Linked DNA regions of Alligator mississippiensis. The protein of the gene in region 2 purifies or fractionates together with the protein of the main gene of each other region. This does not show direct contact. Links are inferred from orthologs where the notes say so. Each region holds a gene or a part of one and is shown on either strand. Other genes may lie near its edges. The genes, in order: RPP25L, NEPRO and RPP30.

The links.
Region 1: the proteins of NEPRO (region 2) and RPP25L purify together in Homo sapiens (affinity purification with mass spectrometry; 3 studies listed by BioGRID and IntAct, with this or other methods). This does not show direct contact. The link is inferred for Alligator mississippiensis from reciprocal best matches to the Homo sapiens genes RMP64 and RPP25L.
Region 3: the proteins of NEPRO (region 2) and RPP30 purify together in Homo sapiens (affinity purification with mass spectrometry; 3 studies listed by BioGRID and IntAct, counting the BioPlex papers as one, with this or other methods). This does not show direct contact. The link is inferred for Alligator mississippiensis from reciprocal best matches to the Homo sapiens genes RMP64 and RPP30.

The regions. Positions count from the first base shown.
Region 1 is NC_081826.1:299,906,293-299,916,653, forward strand, and holds RPP25L (ribonuclease P protein subunit p25-like protein), read right to left. Parts: upstream 4,940-10,361; 5' UTR 4,850-4,939; intron 2,373-4,849; 5' UTR 2,362-2,372; coding exon 1,804-2,361; 3' UTR 22-1,803; downstream 1-21. UniProt on the Homo sapiens protein: May be a component of ribonuclease P or MRP.
Region 2 is NC_081824.1:247,525,459-247,536,130, forward strand, and holds the start of NEPRO (nucleolus and neural progenitor protein), read right to left. Parts: upstream 5,172-10,672; 5' UTR 5,153-5,171; coding exon 5,053-5,152; intron 3,931-5,052; coding exon 3,776-3,930; intron 2,560-3,775; coding exon 2,483-2,559; intron 2,394-2,482; coding exon 2,262-2,393; intron 1,905-2,261; coding exon 1,827-1,904; intron 288-1,826; coding exon 1-287. Other genes in the region: protein spire homolog 1, read left to right, coding at 6,982-7,222. UniProt on the Homo sapiens protein: May play a role in cortex development as part of the Notch signaling pathway. Downstream of Notch may repress the expression of proneural genes and inhibit neuronal differentiation thereby maintaining neural progenitors.
Region 3 is NC_081829.1:68,289,761-68,299,921, reverse strand, and holds the start of RPP30 (ribonuclease P protein subunit p30), read right to left. Parts: upstream 4,899-10,161; 5' UTR 4,865-4,898; coding exon 4,783-4,864; intron 3,039-4,782; coding exon 2,983-3,038; intron 2,626-2,982; coding exon 2,569-2,625; intron 866-2,568; coding exon 791-865; intron 1-790. UniProt on the Homo sapiens protein: Component of ribonuclease P, a ribonucleoprotein complex that generates mature tRNA molecules by cleaving their 5'-ends. Also a component of the MRP ribonuclease complex, which cleaves pre-rRNA sequences.

The DNA.
Region 1 (10,361 bases), on a different chromosome or scaffold from region 2:
CAAAAACACCCCACAAGCAGCTAGCGAAAACAGGGGCCCCGTTTATTGAAACGTGTCTGAAAACGGAACGAAACCAACCCCCACAGAGCTGCGTAAGCAGCTTCCCAGTCTCCCAAGTTTCTCACGTGCCAACACACGCTTGGCAGCTTCTCGCGCAAGTAAACGTGAAGAGTCAATGCTGGATGAAGTGTGGGATGGAGACGGGTCTCAGGATTACTCGTGCTGTCCCTAGACCAGGAATCTGAGTTGAAGGGTATCTGGTTTCTGACTGCCCCGGCTCTTAGTAAAGCCACTCAAGCTGGAAGCAAAGGGGATCCACGTCAGTGGGGCATCTCCAGGTCACGCATTTCAAGACAGGCGCGATGTTGTTCCACCCGCCTTTGTACGTCCGCCCCACAATACAATTGACTTATTATTTCGTGGTAATGGAGCCGGGCTGTTGATACCTGAATGGAGCGCTTGTGTTAGGAGAGGTGAGAGCCACCCCACAGAAGGGACTGATTATTGCATAAATCTTCACTTTCTGTACCGTTGAGCTGCAGCGATAAAAAGTGTTGCTATCATGACGCCTCAGGCAAGCTGGGAGGGGGCTAACAGAGGAACACAATGGCTGCTACGGGGCCTGGAAAACCTTCACGTCCTCACAAAGGGATCTCATGCAGTTCACGTCTTCCCAGTACTGATTTATGTGTTTGTCCAGTTGCCCTGGCAGTTTTCCTGGGAAGAAGGTGCTTTTGGCGGGTCCCGAAACAGTCCTGCCTGCCTTCAGAACTGCTGCAAGAACACCTTAAATAAATCTAAATGAACAAAAAACCCCCGCTTCGCTGCACACAAAGCTGGGCTGTCCTCACTCCGGACAAAACAGGTCAGAAAACCTTTCGGTGTTTGAGGTGAAATGCTGGGGAAGGAGACTGAAACGCGCGTGCTCTGGGCCCCACTGAGAAGTTTCTTGACGAAAAGAAAAACTCTCACATTCATCTCAGGAACAGCTCAGTGCTTAGGCTTCAGTCCAGTGTCCCTAGTCCCAACCTCCAAACGTTATTAAGTCTCCAGTGGAAAGAAAAACCAACTAAAGATTTTTTTAATGTTAAATAAAGAGGCAACTTTTTGTTCAATAGTGAAGGTAAAACAGCAGTAAAGGAAACCAGCTTTTGGCTTTGGAGTTTGCCATTAGCAGTTACAAAAAGCAGTGTAATACTGAGATAACCTCTGCACGAACCAGCCCTCGACTCCCCGCGAAACGCACGTAAACATCCCCATTGCACAGATGAGGAAACCGAGTCACGGAGGAGAGGGGAGCAGTCCAAGGTCACAGGGCATCGCTGGCAGAACCGAGAGAGACCCCAGTCCTCCGTTCAGAGCACTTGCCTGTCTCCAAAGGATGAACACAACACACCCTGAAGAGGGACCTCACAGCTGCAAAGGCTGCTGGTTGGTCCCACCCGATAAAACTGCACTGCAATCGCTGACTGGGGGCAGCTGAAAATACCACCTAAATCACAGCTCGGAGTGCAAACACACAGCACCTGCCACCATCCACCTCCAGCAAGGACGGAGGGTGCACTAGTACTGGGCACTGCATCCTAAATCTTCCAAGCGAATGTCAGACTAGCTTTGAGAGGAGTCTGTATTCACAACAGCTTGACCGGATTGCTTTTCACACCCCATTTCCTTCCCTCCCTCAGCTGACCTACGTTCCAGCCCTGTTGCATCAATGACCTTGGCATCACGTGCTGAGTGTTAGTGTTCGAGGAGCCAGTGTGTTTTCTCATCCCGTCGGTTGCTTCTGTGAACGTCTTTGCTTCAGGGCTTTTTGCAGGACTCCCCACGCTCGCCAACAGATCTGGGGTGCTTTCCTGTGCTGCCGGTCCCCCTGCCCGCCCCCTGCTTCCTCTTCATTTGGCCCTGGGATTCTGCCGCGAGCGTCTCAATCCAGAAGGCCTCGAAAGAGCCTGGAGCCTGATAACCAGGCTCTTGGGGATCGAGCGCATCTTTGCTCAGCAAGATGCATATGGCAGGGATGTTCCTCTTCACTGTCAAGGTGTCGAGGCCCGCCTCGGGCACGATGGGCTCCCAAATCTCTTCAATCTGTCTGAAGAGCACTTTGGTGACCTGGTGGAGTTCCTTGAGCCTCCGCTTCATGATTTCCACGCAGGTGATGGTCTTGCCGACAGCTTTGCCCGAGCCAGTGAAAAGGATCTGCCTGACAGCGTCCGCCTCCATCTTGCCGATGGCATAGCCCATCAGGTTTCTGATCTTGCTGCCGTCCTTCACCTTCATCTCGATAATGTCTGAGGGCAGGTTGGAGAAAGGCAGAGGACAGGGCTTCTCCACAATCTTGCTCTTTTTATAGTTCTCCATTGCTTCCAACACTGCAAAGGAAAGCACAAATTGGTGATTATCTCTTAATCATGATTCATGAGGCTGTCTTAGAGGGATTCGTCTGTTCGTTCCTAGCCTCGTGCCAAGCAGCCTGCGGGGAATCACTGCTTAGCACAACATGCTCCGACTCTGGACATGGTTGAAATACCTACCCGAAGTCAGGAATGGCAACGGTGCTTTAATCCATAAATCAGGTATTTATATTGTGTTGCCTAAAGTGCTACCACATGCTCTACAAACGAAGGAAAACAGTCCCTGCCTTTCAGCCATTCGCCCGAGAGCCATCAGACAGTTTCCAGCACTTACAACCATATGGCATGCAAGCGAAGAGTAATCCCAGACATCCCAAATGCCTCCGCTTCACATAACTCCCTTTTTAAAATCTGCTGTACAGGTGTTTAACTAATCAGACTGGAGAATTTAATTACAGTCATAACTTAATTGGATGCTGTCAAAGCTCAGGGCCAGGGATTCTGAGAGAAGATGGTCATGCAAAGCAGTAATAGACATGCTTTAATTAAAACATGCTGAGGTATTAGATAACGCGCTGCAGATACATTTGGAGCCAATCATTCTCCTGCATTTAGCCCAAGCAGTCGCCCGTGGGAGATGCAACAGGAGAGCCAGAAGCTGAAGAGAACCAGCGCTGCTAGGTTTATTTGCCCATTGTAGCCTATTTTGTTTGGACTGTAAACCTCCCGAGCCTTACGCATACGTCCAACAGCTGGAGAAATGGTCTGAAATCAAACGGACGAGATTCAGCAAGGACAAGTGCCAAGTCCTGCACTTGGGATGGAAAACCGGCGCGCACAAATACAGACGGGGGAGCGAGGGGCCGGGCTGCAGCGCTGCAGAGAGGGACCTGGGAATGAGTGGGCCATAAGCTGAATAGGAGCCAACAGTGCGCTCTCGCTGCAAAATAAGCTGTCTCCTGAGCTGTACAAACATGCAAATCAAGGCCGGCGATTCTTCTGCTCCGTTCAGCACCGGGGAGGCCTCCCTTGGGGCCCCGTGTCCAGCCTAGGGCTCCGCACTTGGAGGAGGACGGGGACAGTTTGGACGGAGTCCAGGGAGAGTGACAGAAACGACGGGGCCTGGGCGGCGAGGCTGGCGAGGACAGGCTGAAAGAGCTGGGGGCATTTAGCCTGGAGAAGAGAAGGCTGGAGGGGGGTTTGATCAGTTTGCAAATCCCTGAAAGGCGATGACAGGGAGGATGGAGGTGGGCTCTTCTCCGTGGGGGCAGGGCTAGGAGCAACGGGCTCAAGCGGCTGCTGGGGAAACTGAGGCTGGAGACGAGGAGGAACTTGCAGACTCGGGGGGGTCAGGCCCTGGGACAGACTAACAGATGCTGTGAGCTCCCCATCCTCCGACGTGTTCAAGAGCAGGGTGCACAGACCTGTGCCGGGGGGGGTTAGCAGGGGCCGGACTTGATGGGACCCCATGAGGTGCCTCTCAGCTCAGCTTCCCTAGGACCCTGCCAATTACAGATCAGCGGTTCTCAGCCTCCGCAGACTCGAGAGAGACTCAAGGCCCCCCTGGAAGATGCCAGATCTCCGCTCCCATTCACTTTTTCCCCCCATTATGGAAAAATATTATCGCAATTTATAGAAATCCTAAAGCAGCGGGGGGGGGGGGGGGGGGGGGGGGGGGGAAGGGAGCAGATGTCAGGTCCAGTCCAACCCCCGCCCGAGGCAGGCTCGGCCCCGCGCAAACCCGCCAGCTAAACCGGACGGCCGAACCCGCCACGCGTAAAGCAGGGGACCCGGCACCGCGCGTCCCGCCGCTATCACACGCAGTCGGAGCACGGGGGGATTGATCCCGAGCCCAGCGCAGCGTGGGGCGAGACCCTCCAGCCAGGGCCCCGCAGGAGCATGGGCACAGCCCGGCCCCGACTGCAGCCAGCAAGCCTCCCACAGGGGCTTAACCCCCTCCCACGTAGCAGGAAGGGGGGAGGGGGCAACCCCCACAGCAGAGCACGGCCATGCACTGGCCAGGGAGCAGGCGCCTGGGGCGGGAGTCACCAGCGCCAGGGGCCCCGACCGATGGAACCGCCCGAGGACCCCCCCATCAATGGAACGGCCGGAGGGACCCCCTGAACAATGGAACCGCCCAAGATCCCCCCCCCCCCACGGATCCATGGGACCGCCTGAAGAGCCCCCATGAATCAATGGAACCGCTCGAGCCCCACCCCCCTCCCGGATTAATGGAACCGTCCGAGGGACCCCCCCCAACGAACAGTGGAACCGCTCGACCCCCCCCCCCCCCCCGGATCAATGGAACCGCCCCGGGAATGAGTGGAACCTCCCGGACCCCCGCAGGACATCCGCGGGGCCCGGGGCATGAATGGAACCTCCCGCCACCACCCCCCGGCGGGGCAATGGCGCCGCCCGTACCCGCCCCCCCCCCGGGTGACAGCCGCGGAGACAGCCGCGGGGCCCCGGGAAGCGTGCTCAGAGCCCGCTCTCACCACTGCCGCCGCCAGGCCTCCCCGCCGCAACACGGCGACCACTTCCGGTGAGGGGCGAACACGCATGCGCACTCGGCCCGTGGCGAGCCCGCCGAACAGCATGCGCGTGCGCGAAGGCGGGCCGCGAGGGCGCATGCGCGAAGAGCGACCCGCCCCCGCCCCTACTCCTGTGACGCAAGCGGCGCCTCCGGCGCGGAGCAGCGGCTCCCCCTAGCGGGCGTCCCCCGCGCGCACAGCGGGGGCTGAGGATGGCGCAGGTCGTGCGCCTGCCATGGGCCGCCCGGCGCGGGGAAGGGGCCAGGCGGTCCCGTGCCCCCACCAGGCCCTCTGCTGCTGCACTGGGGCAGGCAGGGATTTCCCTCTGCTCACACTGGTCCGAAATGGGGGGCTTTTGCCTCCCTCTGCAGCAGGGGCACAGTCCTGCCTGGGTCCACTGAGCACCTCTGGCCCCCTTTGCAGCGGGACGTTGGCTGCCGCGGCCCCTGCTGCCCGTGGTGGGCTCGGGTGCGACGCCCGGGGCTGTCAGGGTGACTAGTCAGCCAGGGGGGTGGCCCGGGCTGGGCTGGACGTGACCCCTGCTCTGCAGGCCTCCTGCAGCCCCGCGGCTCTAGCACTCAACCAACTCAGCAACAGCCCCCGGCCTTCATCCTGACGAACCATGGGCGACTCCGGGCGCAGGGGCAGCAAAGGCTTTACCTGCAAGGAGGATGCCCCCACGCGGGTGCCCGGCTCTCCCTCCTCTTTGCCCCACAGCTCCCGCCGAGGGCCGGCGGCTGCGGCAGGTGTCTCTGCAAGTGGCAGGGGATGCTCCTCTTCCGTGAGCTGCGCTGGATGCCACCTGGTTTCCAGCTGGGTCCCAGGCTGTTAGCCTGACCTGCGCTGCCAATGCTGGAATAAGCCGTTCCCATCTCCGCTCTGCTCCCCCGGGGCCGTGTCTCGGGCATTTCCGCAGCGCTGGCACCGCAGAAACAGATTCCAGCGGTAGCTTTCCTGCAGCGACAGAAATGCGAGGGCTCTTCGAGGCCAAGCAGGGCCCTTACAGCCGGGCACAGGCTCTTCCAGAGCCCCGCTGCAGCAGCACCATCAGCTGGGGACTGCCTCGCACGGGTGCACGAGGGGACGTCTGTTCTCTGCCAGGCCTGCAGCTCCCTCTCGTGGGTGGTCGTGGGGCCGGCTGGAGGCACCGTGCGTTGGAAGTGCTGCCGCTCAGTTCACAGGCTCTGCAAGTGCAGGCTGGAGGGGAAAAGGGCCAGGCCCTGGGGTCTGTGCCCCACCCAGGGCCTGGCTACCAGGGAGAAGAGACTTCAAGCCCACAGAGGAGCCAGTCCAATAGGAAGAGGCGTCCAGGTGACAGGCACCAGATCTGAGCTGGGAGGATCAGTGTAGAGCCGGCTCCTGGGGCTGACTGTGCAGCGGTTTGATGCTGCCCTTGCAGAGGAGCTCGTGTGTGCCCACGGCCCAGCCCCCTGGAATCGCTCCAGCTGCAGGCAGCTCTGCATGGCTGTGGGGTAACAGCAGCCTGGGCCCCCCCCGACATGCCTCCCAGCCCCCGAGCAGGGTGCTGCACACGCCAGGGAAAACACGCTCCCTGCACGCACCAAGGAGGGGGATCTCACCAGACATGACACAACCCCACACCAGCCCCCTCCAGCCCGTCGGCATGCTAGAAGCAGAGACAGCTACGGGCAGGCCCCCTGACCGCACAAAGATCCGGTCTCTCTGCTGCCACTCGTTAAGTCCTGACACATTTAACTCTGTTGGGACCAGCATATTCCAGTCTGCAGGGACAAGTGGATTCCCTAAAGCTGGGCTGAGTCACATGTTGACCAGGCCTTGGTAGCCCATGAGGCCAGCCTAAGGCCAACTGGTCCTAGCCAGTAGGACTGTTGCTGCTGGTCCTCAACCCAGATGCCCACATACCAAACCAGGGCAGCTGGGGCAGCCTTCCACTAGAGCCTAGAGCAGAACTTGTAGCTAAAGCTAAAGCTGCAGAGCACCTGCTTTGGTCATCACACCAGGCTCAGACGGCAGCACAGCAGCGTAGCAGGCAAACTGAGTTATGCTATGGCTATTAGCCACGGTCGAGGCCCTCCCAGAACTAAGCAATGCAATTGTACAAAGTGCCTTATATAAGGCACTGGAAACAGTGAGTGCTGCGATTGGTACAGTCAGCGAAACCAGGTACAAGTTTCCCTAAAAGAAAACGAAACCAAAAACCGAGTAGGATTGGAGTACCTTATTTAAAAAGATACGGTATGGGACCCAAGGATTGGACAATTTGGGATGAGAAAGTTACAAAAGTAACGAACAAAGAAGGAAAAGCGTGTGTTTGTGCTGTAACTCTGGGGAGACAGGCAGCCATGGTTCTTTTCTTGAATAGCTGAAAAGCCAGAAACAAACATCCCACACGCCCAGCGGAGGACTCGAGGCCAGTACTACTGGTGGGGGAGGTTTGCAGCTGCTGCTGCCTCCTCGGATCCGACCATTGCTGTGGGATGCCTGGCTCGGTGCCTAGGGAGCAAGCTGGCTGGAGCTGGGGGCACACGAGGGCATGGCGATGCTGGCAGGAGCAGCGGGAAAGCTGCGCGAAGCCCATTTCCTTCCCTTCAGCACATCAGCAGGATGGAGAGTTCTGACCCCCACCCAGGGTCAGCCCGTGGACCTGAGGGCAGGTAGGTGGGCTGTAGCTCTGCAAGTGGCACGTGATGCTCCCACTCCATGAGCTGCACTGGATGCCACCCAATTTCCAGGTGGATCCTAAGCTGTTAGTCTGACCTGCAGGGCCCTATGCGGCTCAGAGCCCCTCGAGCTGCTGCTGTCCCTGTCAGGGGGAACTCACCACATCCAAACAGCAGGAGCTCCACGCTGGGCCCTGGCTGCAGAACCTGCTTCTGCTGCCAGGTGTGAAGGGTCCAGGCTGCCTGCCTGCAGGACGTGCTGCAAGTTCTCTCAGAGATGGGAGGCAGAGCTGCCGCAGGTGCTAGCACTGTCCAGCAGCAACTTTCAGGGAGGGCTGCTGGGCACTGCAGCAGCCATGGCTCCAACAAGAGGACACATACCTCCATGCCTCCTGAGAGGTGCAGAGGCAGGAAGAGGTTTGGTGAGGCCGGTATCAGAAGCCAGAGCTCCTGACTAGGGCTGTGCGAAACAGAAGCGTTGTTTCGACAGAACAGCATTTTGTTTCGACTTGTGTTTCGAGTCGAAACAGCTGTTCCATTTTGTTCCGTCAAAACGTTTTGCCGTTTCAATGTTTCACCCGTAGGATAGGAATGGTCCCAAACTCCTGGAAGATTGTTTCAGGCTCAATGTTAGGAAAAACGACTTCACAACTAGGGTGTCCACACTGTAACCGTTACTCCTGGTTTTCACCAAGGATGCCCTGGTGAACAGTTCACCGAGCCCTAGATGTACGTGCCCTGGTGAACACTTGTTCACTGAGCCCTAGATGTACTCCCCTAGTGTAGTGGTAAGCTGCTACCAGGTCCCCTCTCAGCCTTCTCTTCTTCAGGCTGAAGAGTCCTAGGTCCCTCAGCCTTTCCTTGTATGGCTTACCATGAAAGTCTCTGATCATATGGGTAGCCCTCCTCTGGACTCTCTCAAGCTTTACCACGTCCTTGCTAAGGTGCAGAGCCCAGAACTGGACACAGCACTCCAGCTGAGGTCTCACCAGTGCTGAGAAGAGCCGAGCAGAGCATGAGAATCACTTCTTTGCAATGGTTTTGCTGAAGATGCATCAATTGATGCATGCCAGTGTATTGTTGGCCCTGCTGCCTACAGCATCGCACTGCTGGCTCATGTTCATACTGTGGTCAATTATTAACCCCAGGTCTGTGGTGGCAAGTGATGGGGGATCTTTGGTCCTCCTGCCTGATGAGAGGCAGCGGTTGCACAAGCACCCATGTCATGAGATTTGCCTGTCAGCAGCTAGGGGTGCAGGGGCCCCAGAACCCCTGCACCGATCTAGACAGCTGGCAGGCATCATGGCCGCAGCAGGGGCTACCGTCCCTGCAGCTTCCACCCTGCTGTGCCTTAGCACACACAGGGTCACCCATGTCATGAGTTCTGCTTGTCCACAGCTTGAGGTGCAGTTTCCCTCAAACCCCTGTACTTATCTCCTTGAAACTTAGCAGGCTTTGTGGCCTCAGCAGGGGCTAGCATGCCTGCAGGTTTGACCCTACTGCGGATCAACACATACACGACATGAGTTTCGCTTTCAGGATTTTGGGGTGCAGTTTCTCCAAACCCCCTCCACCTATCTTCCTGAAACTTGCCACGCTTTATGCCCTCAGAAGGGGCTACCATTTCTGCAAGTTTTATCCAAATCTGGCCAGAAATGACAAAGTTATAGGCTGTTTTGACCTTCCCCATTATAGCCCACGGGCGAAACGTTGAAACAGCGTTGAAACGTTTTGACGCATCTCGTTTTGTTTCGGCCATATCTGTTTCGTTTCAGTTTTGCTGTTTTGACCTCGAAACAGGTCGAAACAAAACTGGTGATGAAATTTCGTACAGCCCTACTCCTGACCCCTTTCTGCTCCTTGTTTTGGCTGCCAGACAATCTTCTCAGTGCATTTCTTGGAAAGCCTCCAGCTCTCCTACCCCCAAAGGAAAAGCTCCGAGGGCCTGAAGAGTACGAGGCCTGTGAGCCTGTGGTAGGCCCCGCACCAGCTGGCTGTGCTCCTTTCCTCTTCTCAAAGCCTCTTGTCTGAAGGACAGCTGGTAGCACCAGTCAGCTGGCAGAGTCCCCTTCCTCCTTGCTTCAAACCACAAAGCAGGGAAGGGAAGCAGCACTGCCTCGACTAGGAGCTAGAAACCCACAGCGTGAAACAGCAGTAAAGCAGTGTCAGAAGTACCCGCTTTATTAGATATGCTGGGGGGGTCGGGTCATAATCCTGCTGCTACAGGGTGTCAGAGCACAGGCCCCTCCACTGACAAAGCACGGCAATTGGCTGCAGTCCCAAAAAGGCACACACTTCAGCCAATCAGAGCAGCTCAGCTAACACTCCTCCTCCTCACTGTGCCAGGGAGCTAGCTAGGGCAGGCTGACTGCTAACTACTCTTGCTCCCAGCATCAAATCACACCTCTTAGCACTGTTGGGAGGAAGCTCACAGCCAGCCTAGCTCTGCTGACCTCCAGGCTGTGCCAGGAAGGTGGCTTTCAGAGTTTGGGGACCCACAGGTATATACAAGTCCAAGCACTTGCATGCTGCTGGCCCACAGGCACAGCCCCAGCTGCAACTGATGGCAGGAAACACTGAACGAGACCCAGTGCCATTAGTGTCTTCGGGTTTTATTAAGGTCCAGGGATCAGCAATAGCTGAGAGGTTGTTATAGTCAGGTCCGCCAGCCCGAATATGGGGCCAAGCAGGGCAGGAGCTTAAATAAGTTACAAATCAAGAGTCAAAACCACTTGGAGAAGTGCAAATAAAAAGCGCAGACGGTTGGATTTTTAGAGGCACCAGACACTTGGCTTCACAGGAGGGAGCAGGGGAGGACGGAGCTGGCCGCAGCC
Region 2 (10,672 bases):
CCCTTGGAATGGCCAAGGCTTCTTTTACACGGGGCCTGGCTGCTGTCTCAGGTTCTGCAGAGAACACTTTGTTCAGCCATCTGCTTGCTTTTTTTGTTGTAAGTATTTGAGACTTCCTTTTCTTGATCTCTACAGAAAGATTAACTCCCAAAAACTCAGCAATCTCAGAGGGGAAGGTAAACCCTTTAACATAGGGCATCTGTTGGGTCTCGGACACCTTCTGCAGCAACCCAGACAACGCCCCATATAAAGACGTAAGCCTCTGTAACACGCATCTATAAAGAATCCTGAGGAGACAGACAGAAAACACAGGGGCATGAACTGCCTACAGACACTAGCTGGTCTAGCCCATATAAAAATGCCCCATTAAATGCAAAGCTGAGGGAGCAAAAGAGGCTGTGTACTACCCCAGCACATGAACATATCCAGGCTGAAAGTAAACAATCAGTGCTTATTATGTGCCCGGTACTGTCAGTGCCTTGGCATCGGTAACCCCAACACCAGCTAACTCTCATTTTCAAAGCTAATAGCCTTTTTGACACCCACTTCCTCTTAACACTATTTCTGGCACCCTTAAATGGAGAGCAGTTAGCTAGCAGACATGCATTACTATGCACCTAATACGAATTCAATTAAGTAGACAGGAGGGCTAAAGGTACTATGCTCATAAGTGATTTACGCAAATATAAACAACAGGCAACAAGTTGGGTCTGAAGCATTATGCAGCTAAACAAATAATGCACTTACCTAGGAGGCATAAGTGGAGTCCACAGTATTCACTAAACAAGCACTCTCACATTTGGTACCTGCTCCTTGTTCTCAAAGGTTTCCCCTCCCATGTTTTTCCCCCCAACACACATGCATTTCTGGGCTCTGGTTTTATGCTCTCAGGCCACCTGTCCTTTGCTGCACCCCACATTTGTACTTCCTGACTAGTAGCCTGACCTCCCTTTTCAATGCTAGTTCTTCACTTGATGGAGGTGTCTGAGAGCTTCAGAAGATGCAGGATATAGACTGGGACTGATTCAACCCTGTGAACACACCATCCACAGCCTGCATTACAGAGACTTCTTCCCCCATATAATGCACCTCATGGATCTTCACAAGCTTTAGGAATGAGCAAACTCCCAGGTGACATCAAGCCAAGGCTCTTTAATTAAAATTCTTCCCCACAAACCATTTCTCCTCCAATTCAGTACAAGTGGGCCTGTTCATCTGCCTTTTTAACATTATATACACTTTTCTGTTCAATGCCACCTGAAGAAAAGCTATCCTGTTCTGAACAGAGTGGTTAGCATACACATTGATGCCATATCACACGAGTAACTCTATATTTTAATTAACAATGCTAGCATTTTCAGCCTATGTTTGAATCTTTTTGTCATTTCTTCGTAAAATGATTCACTGGAAGAATCAGGGCTAGTAAGGAACAGCTCCATTCTACCAACTATATTCTCCACACAAGACAGTTAAAAATCACTTACTGGAAAAACCCAGCAGTTGAACATCATGGTGGTATTATAAGTGCCATAGAAATCTTTTCATCATCAAGTATGAACCCTTCCCCCATCTACACTAGCACCTATTCCTGAGAATCCCGTAAAAGCCTGTCCGATTTCAGGTAGGGTGAGCCATTCAAGTCAGGGGAGGGAAGAAGCCTTGATTCATTAGCTCAACACCTGCCATTTCTTGGTGACAACAGGCACCGAGGCCTGTGTCATACTATGTACTGATTAAAGTAACTAGGGCAAAGCAGGCAGATGATGAACAAAAAAAAAAAAAATTAAAAAAAGTAAAAATATATATCTTTTCAAATGTATACAAACCATAATCTGCTCAACAATCCTGAGACCACAGTATTCAAGAGTATGAATTCTTCCAAACATAGGTGTTTAATGGTCAAGCTGAAAATAAAGCTTGTTAAGGTGAGAAAAAAAACCAATAAAAACAGTGTGCAGTGTAATTCACTGAGCAGAGACTTTCCTACAAGGCAGTTCAGAAACCCATCTATGCCTGGCAATTACTCAGGAAAGGACTGTTCAAACTCGGGGTTACTTAGAGCTATAACAGCAGTTCGCCAGCAGCCCAAAGTCCGTACCTGCTGATCTGAAAACAATTGCCTGTAACCAAAGGCTTTTTAACTAAACAACATTTGTCCGTTTATCAAATGCTATCAGCAATGAGAAGCCTGCAGCAGATCATATTTGGCTTTCTGGTAAGAATTTTCACTTCCAGGCTCCCAGGTTTGTTAAGAAGGATACAGGAATGCTTTGCAACAACAGTCCAGTAGACGCAGCAACAACTTACAGCCTCCCAAGACCTTCACTGCTACTACTTCCATCACAGGCTGGCTGGGAACTAGATGCTCTCCAGGATTTTCAGATTTATTTTTCCTGTAGTGAGGGGGTGGTGGTTACACTTAGCATGAAGTTCTTCATGGCTAAAAGTAGCATTCAGTCTAACAGGAGGTAATGACACTTACTTGGAACACAGTTCTGCCAGGTCTTGAACGTATCCCACTAAGTTCATCCTATTCAAACGCTTCAAGCTTTGTTCTACCTAAAAAACCAACAAGTCTTTTGGTCAATACTTTTTTGTTTCTCAATCAATAGGTCTTTATTAGTCAGTATTGTCCATTGTTGATGTGTAGGCCTGCCACACCTGGTGCCAAACCCATTGGCGCACACAAATATCTACACAAGGGCAAGGAGGATCTCTAGATGACATTATTGTGAACGTGGACTTTATAGGACTCAGGCAAAGACTATCAACTGATCCTACACATTCCAGGCAGCATCTTGCAATTGTGGCTACTTAAATTAAGTTTGCAAAACAAGCTTCAGGAGAAACCAATCATAAGAATCAGAACAGAAAATCTAGATTCCAACCTCTGTTTTGTTAGTGCAACAGGCAGCGTATTTCATACCCATACCACAAAATGTTATTAAACATTCCATGTTCTGTTACATTTGAAAGTTGCTTTGAGACCACCTTTGAAAAACATTCAAGTTAGTAGAAACAGTGTTTAAGGCAACCTTTGAATTATTCCCCCTTCTCTCAACAGAAATACAAGTTCTGTCCTATCTAATGTTTTATATTGAACTTCTTGAAAGTTGCGAATAAAATGAACTACAGTAAAAGTTATGTTATCTGACATCTTACAAGCTGGCATGCTCCACTAACTGGTATGTCGGCTTGTAAGATAAAGTGAAACCAGAAGTGCTCACCGTGGCACTTCTGGTTTCTCTGAGCCCCCATTGCTCAGGGCAAAGCAGCCTGTGCTGCCAAGCCCCCACAGCCCGTGGGCATAACAGGCTGTGCAGGACTCGCCACCCTGTCCCGCGGGGCCCGCCATGGGAGGGGCGGAGGGGACACCCCAGACACGGCGCGAGAAGCGGTGGCCGGGGCTGCTCAATTAACCGGCATATTTTGTTATCCAGCATCCTCCGTTCCCAAGGGATGCTGGATAACAGAACTTTTACTGTATTTATTTAGGTTTTTAACTTAAGCAGAAAGTGTCTTGTATTGTTCCCATTGAAATGGAGTGGTAAAATCTCTCACCAGCAGCCAAATTCTCTATCTAGGATCAATAAAACCTAATTGAATGAGATTCATTTAGAATAAAATGGATGTGAACAATGTTATGAAACTTTACCAAAACCCAGATCTCAATTTTTTTCTTCAGAACATGGTTGTAAGAAAAAATTATTAGAAAGCTCATTCCATCAACTATTACTGCAAAATAATATGAATCGGTATGATTTTCCCTGCTGACCTGTTTCAGAGCCAGGTAGGTTTTATGGTGAGACATTTTGCTGTGGCAGACATAAAGGATCGCATGCAGGACTCTTCCTTCAGCATCCACAGCTTTGTTGTTCAGCCATGTGAGAGTGGCAGAGCACTCTTTACTAACTGCTGGAAGGCATCTCACTGCAGGGGTGGAGGGAGTAAGGGTGAGAGGGAGAGAAAAGAGGAGTGGGGGGGAGGAGACACATTACTGTTTTGCAGTTCCACATGAAATAAATGGTTTAAGACAGCACAATCATGTAACAGTCCACACCCCAAAATCAAATGACCAAAGAAACGCATCCCCTAAAGTAAAGCCTGCAACCCCAATCTGCCATCTCCCCTCACATGAAACAGCTTAAAATCCAGAAGGAATTTTTAAAAGCCATTTTCCGCTTCCTGCCTTTTGCTGCCTACACACCCCTTAGCTGGGAGACGGGAACCAGCGTGATGCAGCGGGACAGAGCAAGGAAGTAAGAGAGGAAGGGCAGCGGGTCTGGGCTCTGGATGCTCCAAAGGAGCAGCAATACAACAATAACCACAAAGGGGTGGGTGGGTTTGGGGAAAGAGGGGGCAACCGCTTATGGCTTTTCAATAAAAATTTGCAGTCTTTTTTTGGGGGGGGGGAGGGGGAAAATCTACATACTTACTCCTCCCACCCCACTAGCAGGAAATAAACATTAAAGATGTACATCATACACATCCTAATGTGCCTGTAGGGTTACCAACGTTCGAACAATTTATCCTGGGAGGTTTCCAGACCGCCAACATGCCCGTGCCACACGGCACGAACGTGCCCACGTGCTCACGTATCTGGTACATTTGACGGTGTGCAGACTTTATGTTAGGAAGGCAAATGCACATTACTGCTACATTATAGGAACCAGTGGCCTACTGTCTAAATTGGATTCAATGTTTCATATTTATTTTGATGAAGGCGATATATTTTATCTCCCTGGTGACTCCAAGCAGTCCCCTCCAGATTTAGATTGAATTCCTGGACTCCGGGGCACCCCTGGACGGTTAGCCACCCTATGTGTACCCTACAACACCCCCTACTGACTACCATGCACGCACACACGCGACACCACAGCCCCAGCACACGCTTTTCCAGTCCCAGGACGCAGAGGCGCGCGCGACGTCACGACCCCAGGACGCAGAGGCGCGCCTGTGACGTCACGAGTCCGGTGGCTAAGCCAGCTGAAACCGCGTGCCCCGAGCGCCCGCCTCTCGCCCGCGCCTACCCCACACAGCCCCCTTCGCTACCTGAGGGGTGCTGTTCCGGCAGAGCCACCGTAGCGCTAGTGGCAGGCCACGGCACATTTACCCGATTCCACACTGCCTCCCCCAGCTCCGGCCCCGCCATATTTGCTAAGGGCGGGGAAAGGGGCGGGGCGACGAGGCCAGAAGCATGAGTGGGCGGAACCAAAACAGAGCTGGGGGGGCGGGGGAGGAACCCTGCGGGCTGTACCAAGAATCTCGGGAACGGGGTGCGTGTGCAGGGCTTGCTATAGCCGGGCAGTGGGAGGTGCGAAGCCCCCGCGAGCCCAGTGTGGGCAAGGGCAGGGTCTGCGGTTGCCCCTCGGCCTGGGCCCCACCAAGGAAGGGTGCAGGGGCCCCAGACACATGAGCAGCTACTTCAAGGCAGCCCTAGCCTGGGGTAGATCAGCTGCTACATCCTGTGGCATTGCATGAGGTCCGCCAGGCTGTGCTGACCTGCCCTGCAGCCTTCGCTGTAAGGCAGCCGCCAGGAGCTCTGCTGTTCAGGGTGCCCCCTGCCCCAAGCACGCACCCCGCCAGCCAGGGAACCCGCCTCAGCCTTGCAGGTGGCATCAAATGAACCAGGCTCCCTCCTGGCCACCAAAGCAGGGCAGGTACTGGCCACCTCTAGTGGGAGGCCTGACAGTTCTTTGTACCTGGAGGTAGATGGGGCCAAGAGGTGGCAGCTCATGTTGCAGCCAGGGTGACTGGGGGCTTTTATTTCATCTGGAGAAACACAAGAAAAGCCAAAGCGAGTTCCTCTGAACGGTACCCCCGTTTCTGAGGTGATTAGCAATCAGGCAACGTTTCCAAAGCAGCCGTGTGCAGCAGAGAATACGCAGGCCGACTCACTGCTGCATGGCGAGGACACAGGCCCCTCAATCCGCTTGATGCAACTTACTGACTCCCAGCCCTGTGCCTGTGCGTGTGGACGAGTTTTATACAGTTTAGGTTTGGATTTCTGTTTTCGTGCCCATGTCTCTGAGAAATCAATCTCTTGGCCAGTTGAGTAGGCGGCAAGGAAACTGAGCCATGACTGGTGACCATTGTTCTTTCCAAGGGTCACTTTATTAGCATTGGGTGTGATCACTGGCCTGTGCACCTCAGTCCCCTTGAAGCTGTCCCTCACAATCCGCTTCTCTCATGCATATCATTGCAGATTTAGACTGAACTGCTTCTGGGATCAGAGTATCTGTGAGGAGGCAGGTAGTGGCTGACCCAACACAGCAAAAAGTGGTGAGGAGTATTCAGAACTCCCCAACGATTGTACAGAAGGCATCTGCTCCCAAGATGTTTTTCTCACACCTGAAGAGGGGTCTTGTGTGCCCAAAAACTTGTCTAGGATTTCTCCCAGCTATAGAATTGGTCCACTACAAGAGCACTACCAAACACATCTTGCTTCTTCTATGTTCCCTGGACCCTACAACAGCACTACAGGTCTGCTTCGCAGCACAGGCTGCTGTAAGCACATCACACTTGCACTCCACTCACTTTTCAGAGTCTTTCAGCAACATTTTTCCTGGTATCTTCCTCCCACTGGGTACCTGTATCAGAAATTGAATTATATCCTACATTGCCTCTTCTACTTTGGTAGTAGCTTGTATGCTCCCAGTTTAATCTGACTCACATTCTGTGTATAAACTTGATGAAGTCAGTGATGTTAATATCAGGCATGAGTTTTAACTTGGGCTTCTAATCTTCCTAGAACCCTTTTCCCACCCCTCTGCCTTTATTCATAAGTACAGATCAGATGGTGAAATTGAGGGTGTCCCTTTAAGGAGGTATTTGCCCTGAATGGTCACAGCTGAAGGAAAGAAAAGGGAGACTGCATAAAAGGTTGTTGGGAGAAGATGCTGCTTCCTGTAGAGTTGGTGAAAAACATCTCAAGTGGTAAACAAACAAGCAAGTGCATAGAAAATAAGTGATACATGTGAAATGGAGGACAGGAGATGTGATTGGAGTGTTACTAAGGTCTCTCTGGAAGAGCTCCTGAGATGTTATAAACAGCCTATAAGTGAGGAGCAAGCTTGGGCCATTTGCTTTCAGTGCTGCTGTAAAATGAAGCAGTTGGCTCAAGGGCTTCATCCATGGTCTCCTACTGTAGTTATAAAAGGCCCTGGAAGCATCCTCATCCATTCCAATGGCAATGTTTCCTTCTTGCTGTGCTCTAAATCTGGTAAGGGCAAGGATGATAATTGATGGGGCTCTTGTTTCTATTCTGCACTTAAAAAAAATAATCAGCTAGTAACATTTTATCCATCATAACCAAAAATATGTTGCTGCTTGGTTTTGGTTTTTGTTTGGGGTTTTTTGGGGGGTGGGGGAGGTTGGGGGTTTTTTTGTTTGTTTGTTTTGTCTTTGAACTGTTTTCCATAGTAAAACCCTTGATTTTTCTCTGCAAATAGCAGGCTGACTCTTGGAATTTCTTGGGTTGTCTCCAAACCCAGTGAATCTGCAACTAATGTGAAGGGCTCTATTTTCCCTACCCACTAGGGTGCCCATAGGGAAATGGGAAAGAAGGGGTATTAATTGGGGGGAATCTTGGCAGCAGTGTTTCTCAAAGGTTAGAGCGTTGGCTTTGGAGTCAGTTTCTCAGTTCTTTTGCTGCATCTGCTGTTTTTCCCTTGTCTGTAATAATGAGAATTTTTTTTTTTTTAGTGTGGTGGTGAATTATAATAATATTATTGCTCTCTGCAAAGTATTTCTGAAGTCTTTGGATAAAAAAATACTGTGGGATAGGGCCTAGTTCAAATTGTGATTTCACACTTTTTTGTGAAAATCACAAAATTAAGTGATTTCTTTTTTTCACGAAAAAATGTGACTTGCAATAAAAATGCCACAATATGCCTGTTTGCTGGGGAGTTCCCCAACAAGCAGCTATATTATGGCATTTTGTTGCAATGATGGCAAGAATTCCCCAGCCAGCAGCAAAAGCTTAGCAGCCTAGGGGAGGAGGGAAGGTGTCACAAAACAGGTTAAGTACACTGGAGCACGCCTCTCTGGCACATAGCCAGCATGGGATGGGTGTTCGCTTCCTCTTCCTGCTGCTCTTGAGGTCTCTGGGATTTGCAGTCCAGAATCACAGCAACAGGACTCTGCATGGTTGCTTGTTACTTTTTCTTCTTGCTTCTAGGTGCCTTTGGGACTTGTAGTCCACAGTCACAGCCAGCAGTAGGTTTTAGTAAGTTTAGCAGCAGGGCAACTGTTACAGGTTTAAACCAGTTTCTGGTTGCTTAAGCTGGTTTATGTGTAACTTCTGTCTCTAAAAGGGACAGGAAGGAGAGAACTTGGGGATGGCATTTGCTCTTCCAGGTGGCTTTTTTTTTTTTTTGTCCCGTGCCAGGGCCATATACTAAGGCAGCCCTTTGGCACCCCCAACCCCTTGCACCCCAGTTTTCCTGCCCGGAGGAACAAACAGACTCCCTTACCTGGTGCCAGGGCTGTCTTAATTACTGCCTCTTCCAGGGAAGTTGGGGTGGGGAGGAGGGAAGAGGGGCGTGGGCTTTTCAGCAGTGATCAGAGGATTTTGGAACTAGGCATCTCCTGCTGCAATTAAACCTGCCCCCTCTGCCAATCAAGAGGCATGGTGTGGGGGAGAAGTGGCTCAATCTGAGCATGAGTATGGTGGCCCCTGTCACGATTGGGCCATGATATTAGCGAGCTGGGCCCACAACTTAAACCAGGCCCTACCATAGAAGAAATCAACTTTTCTAATAGTAACACATTGAATCACTTTGTTAGAGGGGTGTTACCTAAACAAATGGCTTGTATAAGGGGTTTATGAAGAATGTCTCACTTCATCCTCAGATGAACATTCCCTTCCTCCTTGTCCTCCCACTCTGTCACTTGTGAGTCCTAATCTGAAGCTATGCAGGGGGATGAGGGGACACCATGGATGGCATAATTGTTCTGCGTTTTGCAGTCTCTTTACTTTCTAATGCTAGACTTCAGAAGTAATAATATATGCATAGGATTAGAATGGGTCTTTTAAGTCACTTAGTCCAGCCTCCTGTGCACACTGATGCATGGATGATGCCATTGCCACTGAAGGGAAAGGGACTAATGCTTGACAAAAATAACTAGTCACTTTCTGCATGTGTTTATTCTGCAATGTTTGGAGCAAGTTGATTTTCCTCATGCCTTTTCTGTGAAATCTCTATATGGGTTGTGGCTCCCCCACGCTAGGATGAAAGGTGGCCAAAAGACAAGTGTCCATTTTCCAAAGAGCAAGTCTTGATTGTGCGGGCCGGGCCCCGATCCCGCCGCCAAGTGCGAGTTGGGGGGGGCGATCCATGGCCCGTCTTTGCGCACGCGGGCTGTGGCCAGCAGCCCGGGCACGCGGGGTCGGAGAAAACCGGTGGCGAGCTAGAATTAGTCACGAACGCATAGTGGTTGATTTAAAAGATTATTTACTTACACCCAAGATGGTCGCAGTGTAGGCTGGACAGCTTTCCAGGTGCAGCTCCGCTTGAGTCCTCGTTGGAGGACTCTGACGAACTCGGTTCTTTGGCCCCGGAGTGGTTTAGGCTCCGTGGGTTCGGCAGTTCTTTCCTCACGAAGTTGCTGAAGCTCCGTGGGTTCGGTTCGGTTCCCAGGTCCCCCAGAGCTGTTAAGAGTGGGTTCGAAAATTGGGTATATAGGAAGGGATACGTCTAGGAATCTATCGGCGACAGGGAGAGGCTAGAGGCTGATCAGACCTCTGTTGCCTTCTTAAGAAATGCATTGGGTCCGTAAGGATCCGCAGCGCTTAGAGATCTTCACACAGGGTGAAGTCTCCTCCTCCTGATGTTCGTAGAGTCCTCCAACTTGGGCGGAAACCATTGAAGCTTTTTATATGGCTAGCAAGCCAATCACTTGCTGCCACGTGTACATAATTTAGAACTAGCCAATAATGGGGCTCAAAGTATAATACGAATGGCAGGGTTCTCCTCTGCAGCAGAAAACTCCAGCGCGCAAAGAAGCTGCAATTTTAGCGGGAATGTAATTTAGCGTTGCCGAAGCGCACACAAACAACAAATCACAGCTTTGGGTTGTGACATTGATATAGTCTGACTGAACTATACTTAGGCCTGTTGTATCTGTAGTCTGCATGGGAGCAGTGGGTGTTGAGAGAGAAAGAAAGGAAGCTCCTTTCTCTTATTTCTACTTGAGAAGCATCCAGAGGCAGAGAACATCAAAGGGAAACCATACCTTGCACTGTTTTCTAATGATCCTGGATTCTCATCCAATTCCCTTCCCTGCCCTTCCCCCCCCCCCCCCCCCCCCAAGAAAATGGAGGTTAAAACTGTCTGAGGACTTCTCCCAATGGCAAGAAACCAAACTTGCATGATATACTGGAAAGGGAAATTTGGGTCAGTGTCAAGGGCCCATGCAAGCCTAACAGTCCACTGGGCTGCTGTGGTTAAGGCACACCAGTTACTGTAGTCAGTGTCATATAAGGGCATGAAATGGCCAGCATGATATCTGGCCACTTCTGGCTTCTCAGCCTGAATGACCAGGTGCCCATTTACAGCTGAATCAACTGGGGCAGTCTGTGGCAGAAGACCAGAGCAGGGCTTGAACTTTCACCTCCAGCACTATAGCAAGACATGTTAATGGTTCTGCCACTCCACCAAGTAGGGTTAGT
Region 3 (10,161 bases), on a different chromosome or scaffold from region 2:
AAAAAAAATCCCCAACTATGAGATAAAGTATTAATAGGAATAACTTGTTTTAACTGCTGCTGTTAACAAAGTAAACTTAGATTCATGAAAGCTTGCTTTCATATACATCTTATTTAGCTATTCTGTAAAGGTGGGTCTCTATCCTGCCTTCCAAGCATTTTACTGCCGTTATTCTGGATGTCATCCCATTCACAAGTACAGTGGTAGGGCAGGTTTGCCTCGCAAGTCATCGGTATCTCCTTATATTACTGTTACTATACTTTGTAAGTCTTCTTCCCACCCAAGATAAGAACACCTAGCAAACCTCCCCCAATTCAACATGGCATTTTTCAACAGCAAAAGGAGAGGCTTTGAAATTTAAGCTGAACAAAGTTAAGCAAAATCAGTCTTACTGGTATTATGCCAAAACTGAACTAAAGAGCAGGAGTGATTATTTCATGTTTAAACACTTCTTCACCCACTCTACCAGAAGGATTTGCAACAGCATTCTAGCATCTGCTACAGGCTGAGAACTCAAAAGTAAGAGCCTGGGAATAGAATCAAATCATCTTGGCAGCAGCCTATGCCCTTAGTAAAAAATCGCCAGTGCACAGCATATTCTGGTTTACTAAAGTGGTATCGTTAGAGAGCAATGTAATCATAAGATGTCAATCTCAGAAAAATTTAGTGCAATGTTTTCCATGAAAAACATAAAGTTTCTGTAAAATATCAAAAGTTACATTATTTCATTGTGAAAATAAATAAATAGGTTGCAAACTATAAAATTATATAGAGAGTTTTTAATACTTACCAACACATTGCAGTGAGAAGGATCAGAAACTACAAGCGTTAGTCGGGTTACAATTTTAATTGGTTTCAATTTTCCCTGTAAGCAAAATATGTCTAAGTGACTATTGAAAAGGGACACAACAAAGATGTAGCCGATTGATTTTTCATTCCCATTACTGTAAACAGAATGGTACTTTGTTCATTTCTTGCCTATACTCATTTATTTCTCATTTGTAACTAAACCAACATATTTTTACCTTTCTAATTTTAATATTTTGTTTCCATACTCTGTGGTGCTCTTAGAAATTGATGACTTCTTACATTCCTTTGAACTTTATTTCTGTTTTAAACATCACACAGCAGAATAACTGAGCATATTCTGGTACCCAGGTAGGACTGTGCAAAATTTCGGCAGCCGTTTCGTTTCGGAGGTGTTTTGGGCCATTTCAGTGCCCAAAACACCAAATCTGAATCGAAACGGAAGGCTCCAAAATGAACCGGATGGCTCCAATTCCTTTTGGAACGTTTCGGAGTCGGGCTTGCAGGGAAACAAAAACTAAGAAGAGGGAGGGGAAAGAGGTGGGGAAATGACTGCTCTGATATTGATATCTAGCTCCCAATTCAATTCCCCAGCTCTCCGATCGTTTCCCTAGCTATTCTCAGCAGGCACGGGCTCTCGATCTGTGCGTGAGGTTTCAGCAGACTGCCACTGAAGGCTGGGGCAAGCGGCAGCCACTTGGCACACTCTGCGCCAAGCGTCAGGAAAACTGTGGTGTTGCCATTGGCCCCAGCCTTCAGAGGCAGCCTGCTGAAACCCAGCGTGCGGATCTGGGGGCCCACGACCCCCGGGAAGAGCTGGGGGAATGATCAGAGAGCTGGGAATCAAACCGGGGGCTGGGGAATCGCTGCCCCATGACCTGACTCTGCAGGGAGCAGAGATCCACACTGGGGTCTCCTTGCCACCGCTACCCACCCCGCACAGCCCCATGTTGCCGGGGCAGCGCAGATTGAGCAGCAGCAGCAAGGAGACCCCCAGAGCGGATCTCTGTTCCCTGTGGAGCTGAGTCGCGCAGCAGGGACCAGCAGGCTTGCTCGCCGCTCTGCGCTGCTTCCCTGCCCCGTGACCTGGCGTGAGAGGTATCAGATCCGTGCAGGGGTCTCCTCATCTGCTCAGAGGGTAGTGGCCCTCCCCTGTATGAGCCGCCCATGGTCCTGTCCTGCTCTCCACTGGGGCCCCAAGCCCTGCCCGGCTGGGTAGGGCTGTGCGAAGCTTCCCTTGCACAGATTCAGCTGAAACAAAACAGGACTGTGAGCCGAAACACTGAAACGAATCACTGTCCTCCGAAATGGTATCAAAATGCAGCCATTTTGTACAGCCCTATATCCTGTTGCCACAGGTCAGAATGATCACTGTACTACAGATAAGAGTTGTTTTTGTTTTTTTAATTAAAGTACTCTATGGATTTAAAAGAATGTTTGATAATTTAACTTGGGAAATCATCCCTAAAACTCAAGCTCTTAAAATGTCAACTATAGAAACGTTTAACTAGAAGTAGCTTCCAAGTTCAGCCTGAGCACAATGTTTGTTCCCATATCATATAAACTGTATGATGAAGAACATATTAGAATGTACTGTACGTTAGACTGTATTGGTTTTCTGTTGCTGCAGAGTTATTTTAGTAAATCAGACAATCAATCTCTCCAACTCAGGCCTGATATGAGAACTGTATACACAAACACACTAGAATACAAATATATTCCATAGACCATTATACGCAGATGGCATTTAAACTGACATACCGGTATTATAGGCAAAGACGGAAGCAGTTCTGAAGGAGAGATTGGTTTAGGAATTTCCTGAAAATGAAAAGCAAAACAAAAGTAAGTGTTTAAAAACTTAATGGGCCAACTTCTCAATATAAATAAAAGCTGCATACATTTTTCTAAACAGGAACCTGCCCTTCAAACAAATGAAACTAGAACTTTATGGACAGCTCATGCAGTGTACTGAATTTATGGGAAGTAAAATTTAAGTCCAAGCAAAAGGACTAGTAGAAAGATGGAGTTCTAAACTGGACCTTTGTAATGAATAAAAAGTTTTGTATATACATGTAGATGAGTACTCTAAAAGAGGAGACAATTTGAGGACAAGTAATTATGAAGTATGTTAAGTGGAAAAATAAAAAAAGAATAAATACCAAAACAAACTTTTACCTGTTTCTTTTCTTTAAAATCAATGACATGGTTAATTGCAACAGTTGAGTATCCCACTAGAAAATATAAACACATTATAAAATCTGAATCAAATTGCAAAATATTAACAATTTAATAGAAAGAAATCAAAGTAGAAACATTTTAAGATTCACATACATTTAGCATTTTGATTGTACAAGGATGATTGGGACATATTCTCATTTCTGGAAACAAAAATTAAAAAAAAAAAAAAATTACAGGGCATGAACACCCCATGTCAGCCAGTGAGGCAAGTGCTACTGCAATAACATGACCTACCCCATTTTCTCGTTACCTAGCTTAGTGGTTCTCAACCTTTTCGATACCAGGACACATTTGTAAACATCAATGGCCAGTCCCGACCCAGTGTCCCTCGCTCCCAACCTGCTGCCCCCAGGACCCAGCCCTCCCAGTGTGTGGGGCAGGGGGGTGGGTGTGAGGGGCATAGGGGGGACCTCACAGGCTGGAACTCTGCCAGCCTGCAAGGGAAAATTGTCATAGTTTTCCCACATTTTTCTCCTTTAAAGAAGAATCCATTTTTCAAGTTTGATGGCGACCTTTTCATCTCTTCTTGTGACCCACTTTTGGGTCACAACTCACGGGCTGAGAAATGCTGACCTAGCTGTTTTGGGCACATCATAGAGTACCACGTTAGTGGCAACTACATGATGCTTTTTCAGCCTGTAGTACATATGGAGTGGGAGAGGCGTAGTCTCATGGCAGCACTCTACTACGTCCAATGCAGCGCTAACATGTCCACGATGCCTCAAAATGAAACATTCTACTTGCTGCCAAATACAAGTAGAACTAAAGCTTAAGCTCAGGCCTCTAAGACTCATTCAGAAACCAAACCTGGAAAACGCATAGTCCCATATAAGTCAGATCACTCAAACTTTCTGGAATCCTTGCATAAGAACAAACGCCTGTGAGATTCTCATATATGGGACTCAAACAAAACAACTTTTGAGACTTTCTCCCCCCATGAATACAAGTGATGTAGCTGGGGACACGATGCCACTCAAACCACCCAACTGTGCCTATAATGACCTGGGTGGCCCTGCACTTAGACAGAATCCTCCTTGCTTCCCATAACTTCCATTTCCGTGTACTGGCTTCTCCCAAATGCAGAAGTTCATTTAAAAATTAAAATAAAAGTAAACCCTAGTCAAGACTGAGGACTGCTCTGGGGCAAGCAGAGGGCTTCAGAGCAGGTCTCACCTCCCATCTGCTTCCAGCAGAAACGTGGAGTGGCTTTTGCTGTCCCCCTGCTACTGCTTTTAAGGACACATATTGGACACCCTGCACAAGCCTCGGTCCTGCTCCGTTTCCTGCCTCGCCTGCAATTGCCTGGCCCTTCTGAATACAACAGCCACGTATGTATCTGCCACGCTACCTGCCAGCACTGCAAAGCCCAATGCTCAGCCAGAAAGGACCTCAGTGCTCCAGGCCCATCCTAGCAAATTCATAAAATCATAGAAAATGAGGCTGGCGGGGACCTCAGAGGTCCCATCTAGTCCAACTCCCTGCTCAAAACAGGCCCATCCCCAACTAGATCATCCCCCCCCCCGGGACTGGCCTGGCTCAGCCCTTCTGGGGGCAGCAGCAGGGCCCCGCCCCGCGCGGCACAGCCCGATCCGAGCGGGGACACTGAAAGGCGCCGCCTGGAGCCCTGGTGGCCGCGGACGCCCTGTCTACACCACGGCCGCGCTCTTACGGGCGGGGGGGAGGGGTCTGCCCCGGGCGAGCAGGAGGCGGAGCCCCCAGGGCCGGGCCGCTACTCACGCCGCGCCGCCGCCTCCAGCACGGCCCGCAGCGCCTTCCTGTCCGCCAGCGCCAGCAAGTTGAGCTCCGCGAACCCCGCCATGCCGCGAGGCCGGCCACACCGCGCATGCGCCCTGGAGCCCCGAGGCATGCTGGGATTTGTAGTTTCTGGTCTCTGGGGAGGGGGGCGGGGACTTGCGCGCTGCCTGGACTCGCCCTTCGCCCCGGGGGCCTGGGGCGGCCGCTGGACGTGCTGACGTCACGAGTCGGGGCCCACCCCTGTTCCGTGCTGGGGCCGGGGTCCTGGGCGGAGCTTCGTGCTCGGGGCCGGTGCAGCGACCACGGTCTGTCTGCAAGGCCGTGCCATGAGCTTGGCCGAGAGCGCTTCTAATCAGAACAGGGCTGCCTGCACAGGGGCGATGTGGTGTAGCTGCAGTAGTGCTCCCAGCGCATCATAGAAAATAAAATGTGGGTCGGAAGGGACCTCAGGAGGTCACTTCTAGTCCAACCCCAAAGCAGCACCATCCACAGCTAGATCATCCCAGCCAGGGCTTTGTCTAGCCGGGTCTTACAAACCTCCAAGGATGGAGAGTCCACAACCTCTCTAGTAACTCATTCCAGTGCTTCATCACCCTCCTTGTGAGAGCTTTTCCCTATATCTCACTGAAACTTCCCTTGCTGAAGCTTGAGACTGTTGTTCCTTGTTATGTCGTCTGTCACCACTGAGAACAGTCCAGCTCCGTTCTCTATAACCACACTTCAGGTAGTTGAAGGCTGCTATTAAATCCCCTCTCAGTCTCCTCTTTTGTAGACTAAATAACCCCAGTTCCCTCAGCCTGTCCTCAGAAGCCACGTGCCCCCGTCCCCAAACTATTTGCATTGCTCTCCGCTAGACATTGACATCATTGGATCAGAACTGTGTTGGCAATGGCAGGGAATGGCTGTAAAACGTCTCATGAAGGTAACACGTAGGGAGACCACCTTTTCAAAAGGAGAAGGCAGGACACATGCCTACCTTCCTCCTCCTCTGCCCCCCACTGCTGCAGGACCAGAGCCAAGCAGAGCAGAACAGAGTGGGGGGTGGATGTGGGCTGCCCACTGTGGGCTCGGGACTCCCCACCCTGCTGCCTTTCCCTCGGGAGCCCCGTGCCAGCCACATGCCCATTGCCTGCCTGGCAACAGCAAGGGGCACAACTCCACACTGCCGCCATCCCTGCTGCTGCCAGGCAGACAGAAGGCACTTGTCATGGTGGTGCAGCCAGCGGGAGCCCCCAGAGGCAGGACAGCAGGGCAGGGAGCCACAAGCACATAGCAGGCAGTCCACATTCATCCTTGCCCCACGCACAAATCTGGGGAGCACATGCCCTACCACCTTGCCCCTGGAAGAGCTGCCCACAGCTCCATCCTGTTCCCCACCCTGGCACTATGCATTGCCATGACTGGGCAGTGCCCCGAGCCCCTGCCCCACTCCCTCCCTCACCATGGGGACCTCAGTCTGCCTACCCCCCCCCCCGCATCCCTTCCCACACATAAACTTACCTGCTGGGAGCTGCTCTCCAGGCTGCCTGGCTGTGTTCCTGGCCACATGCAGGTGTGCACATGCACATGACATGGCACCCCTGCATCCCACTCCTGGCAGCCTCTTACAGGTGGAATGCTGCCAGCCTGCAAGGGGAAACCTGCCATTTCCTGTGGATCCCTGCATGAGACTTAACAACCAGGAAAAATGATGTCCTGGAGTCATGCAGCCTGGGACCCAGACTTGAGGTTCCCATTGTGGGACTGTCCACCCAATTAAGGATGGATGGATGATCACCCTAGCAACACAGCACCTAGGAGCTGCCCTGTAGGAATCAGGCTCCATGTGTCTTGAAGCCAACTACATTGAAGTTATGATTACTTTGTACTGTATTAAATCATACTCTGTACGTAGGAGGCAAGTGCAGTAATGCAAAGGAGCCACATATGGAGATGAGGATTCCTTTCTCTATATTTGTGAGTTTGAGATTCTGCCTTCTAAATGATACAAAGAGAGAAGAAAATTTCAAGGGCAATCTGAGAGGTGAATCCCAAGACTTTCTGGAATCCCCTTTATGATGAGATGATTCTTAGCTCTCTTAAATTTGTACATAAATGCCTTAGGTGCTAATAGGAGGGTGGAATTCTTTCACAGGCAAAACTGATATAGAATCAGTGGCTGAGGTATTTGGTTGCTGGAGAGAACAACATTATATCCACTAGATGGAGTAGCAATATCATATTATTATCTTATATTACTCCATTGAAATATTACTAGATTGTTTGAGACAGCAACTCAGCATCGACAGTGACAAGAAGAGAGAGGATATTAGATTTAAGGCTCATTTGCTGACATGTTTTAGCCAAAATAACATCTCATAGTTTTTCCATACTCAGTCAAGGCAAAAAGGATATTTTTTAAAACTGAAAGGGATTTTTTCCCCCAACACATCTGGGGGTTATAGTGAAACCCAGACCGACTATGAGTCAACAATATGATGCTGTTGCAAAAACTACAAATCTCATTCTGGGATGTAGAGACAAGAGAGTTGTACATAAGACACAGGAGACAATTATTCCACTCAACTTTTCTTTTTCTCAGGGTCTGCTATGATGACAATGACTTACAGAAGAAGTGGAAAATGGCAAGGATTCCCTTTGTCTTCCTTTAGGAGAGCATGCCAAGACCTAGGGCTAGGGGATAGAGAGATCTTTCTTCCCTGCTACCTCAAGTTTATAGCCAGGTTTAAGATAGAAGGAAGCCCTTGTGGTATCTAGGTGCAAAGTTCAGTAATGAGTTCAGCAGGAGTCAAAGGCTGAACAGTTTCTTAACCTAATGTAGACAGGTTTCTTGAGGTGCTCACCAGCTCTTTGAAGAATGCCTTCTTCCAATAAGGCCTCTTAATTGAGTATTTTCCAAACTTTTCCCCTTCATGACTCCACATACATTCAGATAATTTCATTCAACACAATTACCACTGTTAGTGGACCCCTCTTCAGCTGGTCCATGATAACTATCCCTTGTGCCCACTATTATATTACCATGACAGCTAAGTCAGACAGGTTACTCCTGAATGAAATGGAAATACATTGACTCAGCTTCTCTCTCATTTACTGTGAGAGGAGTGGACATACAAATAGCTTTCCTGAACAATTGCGGTATTTCCATCTCCTGTTAATTCCTGCCTTCTCTTAATTGTGGTCACATAGGGTAGTTGTGGGTTTGTGGGGAACTAGGAGCCCTGTGCAGATTGTAACTCCACTTAGGGTCATTATTCCTAGACTGGGAAATGGTTTTAAGTTTTTCCTTGGTTCAGGTTAAGCCAGCTGTCCTTCTTTCAGACTCCAATCTCCTTTTTACTAAAATAAAAATCTGTTTACACTGGATGAAAAATAAACAATTGTGAACTGCTGAAACATTTCTGGGTTTTGCAGAGTGTGTCAGTTTACAGCATTCTGCATATTAGATGAGAGCAACAATGACAGGTCTTCGGGAGGGGAAGAACCTGCTCAATACACTTGTCTCAGAGCACAACGAATAGCCAGCTTATGGCTATAACATGTGCTGAATCAACAGTGGTTTGTCCACAATTGTATCAAAACTACTGACAGATCAGGAAGTATCAACAGAGGAATTTAACTTCAATGTATTGCCATAAGATGCCTGCCCATCAGTTCAGCCACTCGTTCAGATCTTGAGCTTTTCAGGAATTTCCCTTGGTATAGTTGAACACAGAAGAGCTGTAGGCTATTTCAGGTTTTCTTGGGTCAAGATTTACAGCTGAATTTGGTTCAGTTTCTCTTCATGAATTTATTAAGAACTTAAAAATATTTATTCATTATGTTTGCACAGTGTAATGCAGTAATGCTCAGAGACTGCAGTCAGGAACAGGCCTCTAATGAACTAGATACTGTACAATGCAGAATAAGGGACAGTATTTGACTTGAGCCACTTATACTGCAAAGCCTTGATCAGCTAAACTGGTGCTCATGAGTACAACCCAGACCAAAATAGAATCCCCATTGGTGTTAATGGGATCCTGCACTGGTATACTTGTCCACAAAAATGGAACAGCTTGCATAATTAGAGATGTAGACTATGATGGGAGAACCATGGCCTTTCATGGAGCCTCATTTCCTGGGCTATTTATTTACTCCCCCTCCCCTCAACATTCACTTTTGACTGGGGAGAGCCCAGTGACCTACTTGAAACCTGTGTGTGTGTGTTTCAGTACTGTTAGACACAGACCTCTAACGTGTCTTGCTTCTACCCTTGCAGTCCCTAAGCCCCTCCTGTGGAACCCACATATCCCCTCAGCTAGTTACTCTTCTGGTCCCGAATACTGAACAGTTAGGTCCCAGGCTCCGTTTTCTCCATGAAGAGCCATTGGGTGCTCACATCCAACCACTGTCTGCCAACAACTCTACTTTCAAAGGCCAGCTCTTGGAAGCTACTGAGAGATTTGTCTATCACAGCGCCACATTTATCCCTTTCATGGAACATATCTGATCAGGCACTACTATCTTAGTAATTCTATAACAGAAATTTCCTAATTACTTTCACCAACATTGTTCTTTTTTTCTTTTTATGCTGCAGGATGAATTTTGAGTGGTGGCAAAATCAGTTTGAGTGACAGCAGGTTTACCACCTTCACTGTTTGTCTTACTTTCAGATGAGAGTTGTAGGTTACCTGCTTTTGTCAGTATTTGTTGGCATAGAAAAAGGGAAAACGTAATTTCACATTTATTTAAGTTGCATAGATACTGGCAATTATTCTGACAATGAAACAAAATGCTAAAGAAATGAATGTTTACTGTTCTGTTTACTGCCATAAAGTGGTGATGATTTATTTTCACAAAGCCAAGAAAAGACAGTAAAGAAAATTGCAGCTGCAACATCTATGCTGCAAGTCAAACAAGAGTGTTATTTACTAAACATTACACACTGGGAATAGAAATCAAGGTTTGAATAATATTTAGCCTCAGAAACTTACTTGGGATGTGATAAAATATGTTAAATATTTTGACAATATGTTCTTCACAGGCAGGAGAGACATTTACCTACATCTTATTTATTATTCCCAGTATGTTACCGCCCAGAGTAGCAGTAACTTACTAGACTTTTATCAGCATCCAAGGAAAGGAAATGCTGATTGTCAAAAGAAGAAAAAGTAGAAAAAACAGAGTGAAAAAAGTAAACAGAGTGGATCAGATATGGAAGGAAACTAAAAAATGGAAGCAAGGAAAAAACAAGCCAACTTTTCCATTAGTATATTTTTTTTCTCTTTATTTTGTGGTACATCCCTGGCCCCCATCCAACATTTAATATAGGAACCAGGGGTGTGATAGCTCCTCTAAGCATTTACATTAATATCATTGCTC